Saccharomyces cerevisiae S288C: one gene and its partners. The protein of the gene in region 3 purifies or fractionates together with the protein of the main gene of each other region. This does not show direct contact. Each region holds a gene or a part of one and is shown on either strand. Other genes may lie near its edges.

Region 1 (3,151 bases), on a different chromosome or scaffold from region 3:
TATTTATGGATTCAAGCCGCGATGAAGGAATTCAAGAAAGAATGAACCAGGTCTTGCACTTGGTGCTGGATGTCAGAAACTATCCCATCTTAGTGCATTCCAATAAGGGCAAGCACCGTGTTGGTGTAGTTGTGGGAATCATAAGAAAGTTGTTACAGGGATGGTCCACTGCAGGTATATGCCAAGAGTACGGGTTATTTTCTGGTGGGATGAAAGATGGAGTAGATTTGGAGTTTATCACAATGTTCGAAACCAATCTGAAAATACCGAGAAACGTTATCCCTGGCTTTGCTAAACACTGCTTGTATTTGAATGAGCTAGAGGCTGCGGAAGGAAGTGATGATGAGTCAGGAAGTGAGTCTATTCTCACTGCCAAGCAACCAATATGATTATGAGAACCAGCCGTTACAAAGAATATTTTCTGTCATTAATATATTTGTATAAATAAAACAACAAGTCTAAAGATCAAGTAGAAAAATGGAAACAAGAACGAGCACATATATGGTATATAGTGAACATATATATATTAGATATATACGTTCAAGCGTCGAAGGACAAAGACCAACCTAGCTTGTGAACAGGTTCAGACAACTTCAAAGCATCGAAAGAGGAACCGACACCCAGAGTGACGCCAGGTCTTAACAATTGCTTGTAAGCCAAAGTGACAATACCGGAATCGGACACCTTAGCCTTAACTTGGGAAGATGCATCAGGCAAATATCTAGTGGCGAATTCGATGTTGACATTGGAGTTAGGTAGTTTGCAGTTCATTGTAGCCTTAGCACCGACCTGTAAAAAGGCGTTGACGTTTTGGAAGAAGTCAACGGTAGTTATTTGCTCGTTGTTCAATGTAGCGCCCAAGGAGTAGTCTTTGGCGAAATAACTTAAAGCCATGGCATAACGAGAAATGGAACCGGCGCTGATATCGTAACCAAACTCTGCGCCACCAACAATACCTTCGTGGGCCATAGTTAAGTCACCAACAAATGTTGGTGACTTCAAACACAAGTCAAAGGCACCTCTTGCGGTGAAGAAAGGTTGTGTGAACGTAGTGTTTAAGACGGCGGACTTGGCGACGCCTGGAGTCAAAGAAGTGATCAATTCGTTCTTTAGACCAGGGGTCAAGTTGGCAAACTCTAATTTGGTTTGCAAGTTGTTTGTGTTAGACCAGCCTTGAGTTAGACCCAAGCCGGTTTGCTTGTCATTCAACTTTGCTTCCACGTTAGTAGACAGTGGACCGTCTTTGACAGGCTGTTTAGCCTTCAATGAGAACTTAATGCCATTGGCGGTTGTTGTTTGCACATCAAAGGCAGCTGGGGTAGCATGATAGAAATCCTTGTTCAATAGGTCATTGATATTTCTGGAGATATCGCTGTAAACTGGAGGAGACATTGTTGAGAGGTTGGTTTGATTTTTGCTTTGGGTACGCTTGGCTGTTTCGTGTTGGGAGAATCCGTAGCACTAATGAGTAGTGGAACGAGTTGGGGGTAGTTATATAGTAGATCAACTCGTGCTCTGCTGGCTATAAAAGGGGTTCTTTGTTGAGGAACGGCCGAAATGGCGGTGTTTGATTGGGCCGCAGCCGGCAAAAAGCACCGGAACCGTGAAAAAAGCTCGTCTGACGCGGAAACGTGCGGCAAAAAATCTCCGCGACGGGGAATTGAACCCCGATCTGGCACGCGACAAGCGCCCATTCTGACCATTAAACTTGTTGGAATAAAAATCAACTATCATCTACTAACTAGTATTTACGTTACTAGTATATTATCATATACGGTGTTAGAAGATGACGCAAATGATGAGAAATAGTCATCTAAATTAGTGGAAGCTGAAACGCAAGGATTGATAATGTAATAGGATCAATGAATATTAACATATAAAACGATGATAATAATATTTATAGAATTGTGTAGAATTACAGATTTCCTTTTATGGATTCCTAAATCCTCGAGGAGAACTTCTAGTATATTCTGTATACCTAATATTATAGCCTTTATCAACAATGGAATCCCAACAATTATCTCAACATTCACCCATTTCTCATGGTAGCGCCTGTGCTTCGGTTACTTCTAAGGAAGTCCACACAAATCAAGATCCGTTAGACGTTTCAGCTTCCAAAATTCAAGAATATGATAAGGCTTCCACTAAGGCTAACTCTCAACAGACAACAACACCTGCTTCATCAGCTGTTCCAGAGAACCCCCATCATGCCTCTCCTCAAACTGCTCAGTCACATTCACCACAGAATGGGCCGTACCCACAGCAGTGCATGATGACCCAAAACCAAGCCAATCCATCTGATTGGTCATTTTACGGACGCCCATCTATGATTCCGTATACACCTTATCAAATGTCGCCTATGTACTTTCCACCTGGGCCACATTCACAGTTTCCGCAGTATCCATCATCAGTTGGAACGCCTCTGAGCACTCCATCACCTGAGTCAGGTAATACATTTACTGATTCATCCTCAGCGGACTCTGATATGACATCCACTAAAAAATATGTCAGACCACCACCAATGTTAACCTCACCTAATGACTTTCTAAATTGGGTTAAAACATACATCAAATTTTTACAAAACTCGAATCTCGGTGGTATTATTCCGACAGTAAACGGAAAACCCGTACGTCAGATCACTGATGATGAACTCACCTTCTTGTATAACACTTTTCAAATATTTGCTCCATCTCAATTCCTACCTACCTGGGTCAAAGACATCCTATCCGTTGATTATACGGATATCATGAAAATTCTTTCCAAAAGTATTGAAAAAATGCAATCTGATACCCAAGAGGCAAACGACATTGTGACCCTGGCAAATTTGCAATATAATGGCAGTACACCTGCAGATGCATTTGAAACAAAAGTCACAAACATTATCGACAGACTGAACAATAATGGCATTCATATCAATAACAAGGTCGCATGCCAATTAATTATGAGAGGTCTATCTGGCGAATATAAATTTTTACGCTACACACGTCATCGACATCTAAATATGACAGTCGCTGAACTGTTCTTAGATATCCATGCTATTTATGAAGAACAACAGGGATCGAGAAACAGCAAACCTAATTACAGGAGAAATCCGAGTGATGAGAAGAATGATTCTCGCAGCTATACAAATACAACCAAACCCAAAGTTATA
Region 2 (3,159 bases), on a different chromosome or scaffold from region 3:
ATTCTTCACTCTGTTTTACATGTTTCATTATCCTATTACATTATCAATCCTTGCATTTCAGCATCCTCTAACTTCGATGACAGCTTCTCATACCTTATGCCATCATCTAACACCGTATATCATAATATACTGGTAGTGTGACTACTAGTTGATAGACGATAGTTGATTTTTGATTTTTATTCCAACAGTCCTGATGATAAGTTACTGTCAAAGACATAATTATTATCAAAATATATGGTATTAGATGGACTGGTAAAAGTACAAAACTTCAGAAATTTGTCCGTGATAGTTTAATGGTCAGAATGGGCGCTTGTCGCGTGCCAGATCGGGGTTCAATTCCCCGTCGCGGAGATTTTTTTATCAGACCAGGTGGGTGTTGTTTGATCATCACAAAGTAGAATTCAGTGTCATTTTTAAAAACGTTACTTAATTTTACGATAATATGCTGCCAGAACAAGTTTAACAATACGCTTTTGGCAATTTGTTCTTGCTGCACTTGGAATTAAATAAGAGTCTTAGTAAACAGAATGTTGCTTTAGTTGTTCGTCAACAAAAACAAAGATAAAGGATGGAGGTAATCAAATAGCCCACATTAAGAAAAGTATACAACTGGGAATTTACTTTATAAAAATTACCGTTGCTACATTTTTTTATATTATTTATTGAATAGCTTGATATTTCAATTCTTCTTTGCAAAGTAATTGATAAGCATTCCATTTTTTACCAGGAGCCAAGGAAATAAAATCATGAACATGACCAGGTTCAATACATATCATTTGTTGGTAACCAGTTTTTGGTTCGAAATCGGCCATCCCTTGAGACTTCTCAATCCATGGATTCCAAACAACAGTGTCGGGCAAGTTGTATCTTTTTAGAGTGTGAATTTGAACGCCCTTGTCAACTATTTGAATGGCCCGTTCGGCGCTGACATTCTGATAAATTACATCGGTTTCTTGATTGAAGGTAACGACTGGGTGCTTGTCGACGTAGGATTCCTTCAACAGTTGGTCATAAAGTTTCATGCCAGCTAAATTAGAGACCATTGTTCCTTCAATATCTTCGATACGGAAGTATGTATGGAACAACCAGTTGAACTTTAATTCCTTGGAACTAGATGTGTTTTCTACTTCTATGGCAGTTTTCAAATAATCGGAGCCTAATTCAACAGTCAAAATCAAAAGATAATCCATTGGCCACAATTTGGTCAATTCTGGGTTAGCAATTTCTGGTTTCAAGCCAAATTGTACGGTCGGTGGGTTTTCCTTAGTTTGACCCAAAAACTCCCAAGTAGAATTTCTTGCAAGACCATGTTGAGGTAATTTACTCAAATGTTCATCGGTGCTATTTTTCCCGAATACAGGAAAGACCAAAGGTATACCACCTCTCACAGGTTTGCTACCATCCAATTTAGCAGCAGTAGACAACCACAACTGTTCTTCAGATTTCAATTTCCAAGAATAAACTGTAGCACCGTACTTTAGAATATGAACGCTGGTGGTCTCATCAGCTGGATGAGTCAAAACAACTTCTTTATCAGTTTCTTTGATAGGCATGGCTTTGTGTTTTAATCTTTCTTGGTTCAAGTTTTACCAAAGGCTTATAATGAACCTCAGAATCACCTCTTTATTCATTTCTAGGGACCTACTAAGTTTTCTTTCGGCGTGAAAAATAAAAGGCGCATTGGTGACCCCATTTGCGATACCTTTTTATGGAAAGACAGCTTGAAGAAAGACCTTGTTATCATTGACTGCGTCTAGCGAACGAGGACATCTACACACTATTTCTTCTGCTGCAATGATTGATGCCGTTTAGATGAATGGTCGGGACGTAACTTATGTTTTAAGAAGAAGGCACTTTTCCTGGTGCAATAGATGAATCTCGGTTTCAAGTTAACTATATAAATATGGGGTTGGCATTATATGTCATGCTTTATTATAATTAGGCATATAAAACTACATGGTTATGAAAGGCGCTGGCAGTAAAAGGGTTGTTTGTCAATGGCAAGAATTAATCATTCTCGCATTGAAATATATGTAGATCGAGGTGAACTGTTAGATGGTCCATCAGACATTTATTATTTTGACTTATGTATTTCCCTCTCAATTTTGTTATCAGTAATCGAGTCATGTGTACTTTAAAGTTCATATTCTCACGTTTTTCGCAAGATATTAGCCGCCAATAGCAACTCCGAATAATAAGAGCTATATAAAGGCCGTTGAAGCCCACGGAAAGAGAAAGAAAACTAATAGTTATTACAATATAGACCGTTGGTTTTTTCTTTCCCTCCTGGAGCAGCTGCGTATAGTTACTACCTAAGAAGTGGGCTAGAAGTTGGCTAGAAGTGGGCTACTTAATATATATCTTTGGATACATAGAAAGGAACCAGGAAAAAGGAAAATTATTTAGATGGCTTCCATAAGTTTATGATGGTTCAAACGGCAAAAAGCCTTTTGACTATTTTTCTTGGTTGAACTATCTTCTTATTAGGCCTACTACAACAATGCATCGAGCTAGGATAACAACTAGAATACTTTGGTTATGTATTGTATGGGTGTTCAGTGGCAAAATTTGAGAGTTGGGTTATTGATGGTCGGCCTATACAAACGAAAGACCTAGAGCAGCTCACAAGGAAGAAAGTGCTGGACAAACTTCCCTACCTGAAGAGAAAAATATCCGTTTTTTATATAGTTTCTGTAAGTGTGCACAGTGACTTCCTCATTAGAGCGATATAGATAATTTGAGACTTTATTTATTTTTTATTTTTGTTGGTTCTCATATTCAACCTTCCATTTATCTAAGTTGAACCATTAAACATTCCCTTTTTTACTTTGCTAATTTCATCATACCCATTGATCAACTATAAGTGAAACTTGGGAATCTTCCATTATACAAAGGTGAGGTCCCTATTTGTTGCATTTTTCAATTCATTTCCCTGGGAGTTTTTGTTTGTTTTTGCTATATTAACATATCATAACAGCGTATAGAACGTAATTTGAAATATTCAAAACAAAGAAAAGGTAAAGAAATGAGAGACTCTAATCATCGATCATTAACGTCGAACAAGCCTATAGTAACAATAACATCTACTGTCTATGACCGAAGGGCATTGGATATCAACTCTAGTATTCCGTTAATAAACTCCCTAAACTACTTAACATA
Region 3 (3,485 bases):
GCGAGATGGTAAATTTGTTGCCAATGCCAAGAAGGATATCGATTTGGCAAAACTACTTTATATAAATGCTGCAAAGAGAAGTAAAACATACTGGACAAAATCGAACTGTAACCCATTCATTGCATCCTCCCCATGTGATGTCAAATTAAAAGTGAATAATCAAAACAGGTTTACTATTTTAAGGAATATTGCATTAAGCGCACTGCAGATAGGAAGAACAGACATTTTTCTTTGGGCGTGCGCAGAACTATACCAGAACGGTATGACGATTGAGGAATTGAAGTTAGACTGGAATTTCATCTTAAAACATCAAATTAGAAATTCAGAGTTCAAAACAAACAAGGAGATCATACAAGATATTAAAAAGCATGGTGTGTCGGCTGTCAAACGTTACTTAAGATGAACGGCCAAACGCACATTTACGATATAAATAACAAAGCAAATAATAACAAAACAAATTTCTGTAAATATATACTAAATCCAAGCATTGCATCCTAATTCTTTTCTTTTTTTGATCATCAAATAAATGTATTATTTTATGTTATATGCGTTAGACTTGTTATATTCTTTCATGCTATTCTATCGTTGTGTTATGAATTAATTTATATTTACAGTTTTTCAGTACATTCAATTCCTTTTTTTTGGAGGAGGTAACAATTTCACATCTTTCGATTGTTTGATCGCCGCGTTAGAGAAATCTCTCACTACAATTTGACAATTTACCTCTTTGCATAATGCCTTCTTCTTTGAAGGTGGTACTTTTTGCAGAAGTTCTAGCCCAGTACTTCTCTCTAAAGCATCTATAGGAACTTCAAAGTCAGTCAATTTCGTCTCATTTGATATCGGTTCGTTTGGCAATACAAATGCCGCGACAGCAATATCCTCTCTAGCAGGATTGGCTGTTGGTGCTTCTGCAACAATCAATTTAAAAAAGTGCGTTGGAACAGCAATACTGGGTGGATTGCCAATAACTTCATAATTAACCCTAAATTTATTATCTATGGGATCCTTTTTGGGTAGATACAATGGACCAGTCACGATTCTTACACTCTTATATTTCTTAGTCAATCCCCTACAAAAGTACTCCAAATGCGCCCAATAGTCTCTATTAAAACCTTCTCCTACTTGAGGACACATATTGGATAAGTAGAATGTATCATCCATGGCCTGTTGAGAAAATTTTGCGTCTGCAGCTGGGGCTTGATGGCCTCGATCATAGCCCGACCTAAAATAGTCTCTTAGTTTACCTCTAAACTTTTCTGGAATTACTTCATCTTCCTTGAAAAAGGAATTTTTTCTGTCAGCATTCCTTGCAGCCAATGATTCTGGCGTTATATGTTCGAGGACCCAATAAGGATTTTGAGTTTGTCTGTTGTAACATGAGATAAACTCTTCGCGGTTCTGCAGATCATGAATCGGACCAGGAAAACCATACTTGAAGAACCCGGAAGGATCGACGTTGAAAGAGTGAGATTGAATATTACTATTAGGTTTCTGGGTAGGTGGATAAGGTGTCTCAATGATTTGCGTTGGAGAATGTTTGTTCAAAAGAAGATAGGTTAAGCCAGTACCAGCACCCAGTCCGACTAAACCGGACAAGAGTATCCTACTGCACATGATAACTTTAACTTTGGGATCTAATAAGTGGGGAACTTAACTAAATGTTCTTATCTTTATACAATTGTAACTCTATAAAAACTAACAAATTACTTGATGAGTGACCAATAACCAATTGCACCATTGATATTTTTTCACAGATTTTATTTTTTTTTTCTTTTTTCGCGATGAGTTTTATTTCCGTGCATATGCATCCGACTTGCAATTAGTCGAAAGATTTCAGTTGAAAGGCCTCTTCGACAGAGCCCAAAGACTGCGATTTAACGTATGCCTCCATCACGGAACCTATAATTGCTTTTTGTTGAGGACTTATAGTGCTAGAAATGGCTTCTTTAAATGAATTTTTGTCCAATTTAGCCAAAGCAACTATGCCACTTGCTACTTCGTTGTCTATTTTCTCTGTATATGCGCTATGATATGCGGCAAAGAAAGAAAGACATAAAGCAATTGACAATGATGCCTTTTGGTGATCTTGTTTGATTACTTCCTCGGAAAACTGAATTATCAACTTAGTTTTAATGCTTGCCTGCGATAAGGAATCGTTTGTTTGAATATCTTGAAAGAATCTTTTTATAACCAACTTCATAAAATACTGCAACAACGGGTATTTGAAAATATTAGATATTATTCTCTTGAAGCCTTGTAGAGCAATTGGCTGCGTAGCAGGATTATTCAATGCCTCCGAGAGAATATTTGCGCACTGATTCAGTTCCTGAAAACTTAGCTTAGAGTATCCATTAGACAGCAAGATCAAAATGGTTGCAACTTTATTCTTTGAATCCAGCTTATGATAAATAACATCTTTTATTGACCCGTAGAATATTTCTAGTAACACAATATTTTTTTCGTCCTCAGATTCCGTAAGCGCTTTTACTAGTGCCTTGAAAAGTGGGAGTATGATTGGAATTATTACTTCACGATGACTACATTCATAAATTTTCCCTATGATGAATAAAAGACATGAATAAAGATCTACTTTGAACATATTGTCGAAGTTACTGATATTTGATTCGAACGCAATAAATGTTTTTTTCAACAGACTAATATCTGTGGGAGAGATTTTTATTTCATTATCATCTTCTTCGCTGGTAAGCACGTTATACTTAATAAATGGCAACCTCTCAGAAATAATTGTCATCAGTAGTCGCAGTAGCTCATATAGTTTGTCAATATCTTGTAGAAATGTTTCAGGAGTAGCATTACACTTCGAATACCCAATGATCAAGTCACTGATGATATCAACAAGCAAAAATTCTTCTTTACTGTCGCCTGTAGAAATCAGTCTGTCCATAATCTCAACAACTTCAGTAATAATATCATCCTCAAATATACTTTTTATGCACAGATTGCTCTTCAAAACATTGTGTAAAGCCGGTAAAACTTGCATCTTGACTGAATGATCATCAATATTTTTGACGATAGCCTCCAAACATTGGCTAAATAAAATAAAAAGAAAATACTCTAATTCCTCATCGTTAAGAGATGCCAAAATGACTTGAACGTCTGAATCCAGAGTGCACCCAAGGGCCTCTACGAAATTTAACCAGACCGGTTCATATAACTCAATTTTCGTACTTCTTGGTTCAATGAGACTATTTTCTTTCGAGTCATTCTTTACTTGCACAGTAGAATCATTATCGTTATACTTTATCATCATGTATTCACGTAAAGAAATGATCCATAATGGGACTAAAATGCTCCAATATTTCCTGGTAAAAGAGAAAAGCGCATCATTTGACGACGTGATGGATCTTTGCACTACCTCAGCCCACGCATCCAAAACGGCAAGTTCAATTTTTCTTTTCGCTTTGGGTGTAACGATTATAGCTTCCCCTATCCGTATACCGGAATTAGGATCTTTAAAGTTA

What was found.
Region 1: the proteins of NUC1 (region 3) and POR1 purify together in Saccharomyces cerevisiae (affinity purification with mass spectrometry, with the first as the bait; 2 studies listed by BioGRID). This does not show direct contact.
Region 2: the proteins of NUC1 (region 3) and YMR099C purify together in Saccharomyces cerevisiae (affinity purification with mass spectrometry; 4 studies listed by BioGRID, with this or other methods). This does not show direct contact.

Annotation. Positions count from the first base shown.
Region 1 is NC_001146.8:517,454-520,604, forward strand, and holds POR1 (porin POR1), read right to left. Parts: upstream 1,393-3,151; coding exon 541-1,392; downstream 1-540. Other genes in the region: OCA2 (Oca2p), read left to right, coding at 1-389; YNL054W-A (gag protein), read left to right, coding at 2,003-3,151. UniProt on the Saccharomyces cerevisiae protein: Non-selective voltage-gated ion channel that mediates the transport of anions and cations through the mitochondrion outer membrane.
Region 2 is NC_001145.3:463,275-466,433, forward strand, and holds YMR099C (glucose-6-phosphate 1-epimerase), read right to left. Parts: upstream 1,554-3,159; coding exon 660-1,553; downstream 1-659. Other genes in the region: MYND-type zinc finger protein MUB1, read left to right, coding at 3,026-3,159. UniProt on the Saccharomyces cerevisiae protein: Catalyzes the interconversion between the alpha and beta anomers from at least three hexose 6-phosphate sugars (Glc6P, Gal6P, and Man6P).
Region 3 is NC_001142.9:39,567-43,051, forward strand, and holds NUC1 (ribonuclease), read right to left. Parts: upstream 1,618-3,485; coding exon 628-1,617; downstream 1-627. Other genes in the region: CBP1 (Cbp1p), read left to right, coding at 1-403; AP-1 complex accessory protein LAA1, read right to left, coding at 1,823-3,485. UniProt on the Saccharomyces cerevisiae protein: This enzyme has both RNase and DNase activity.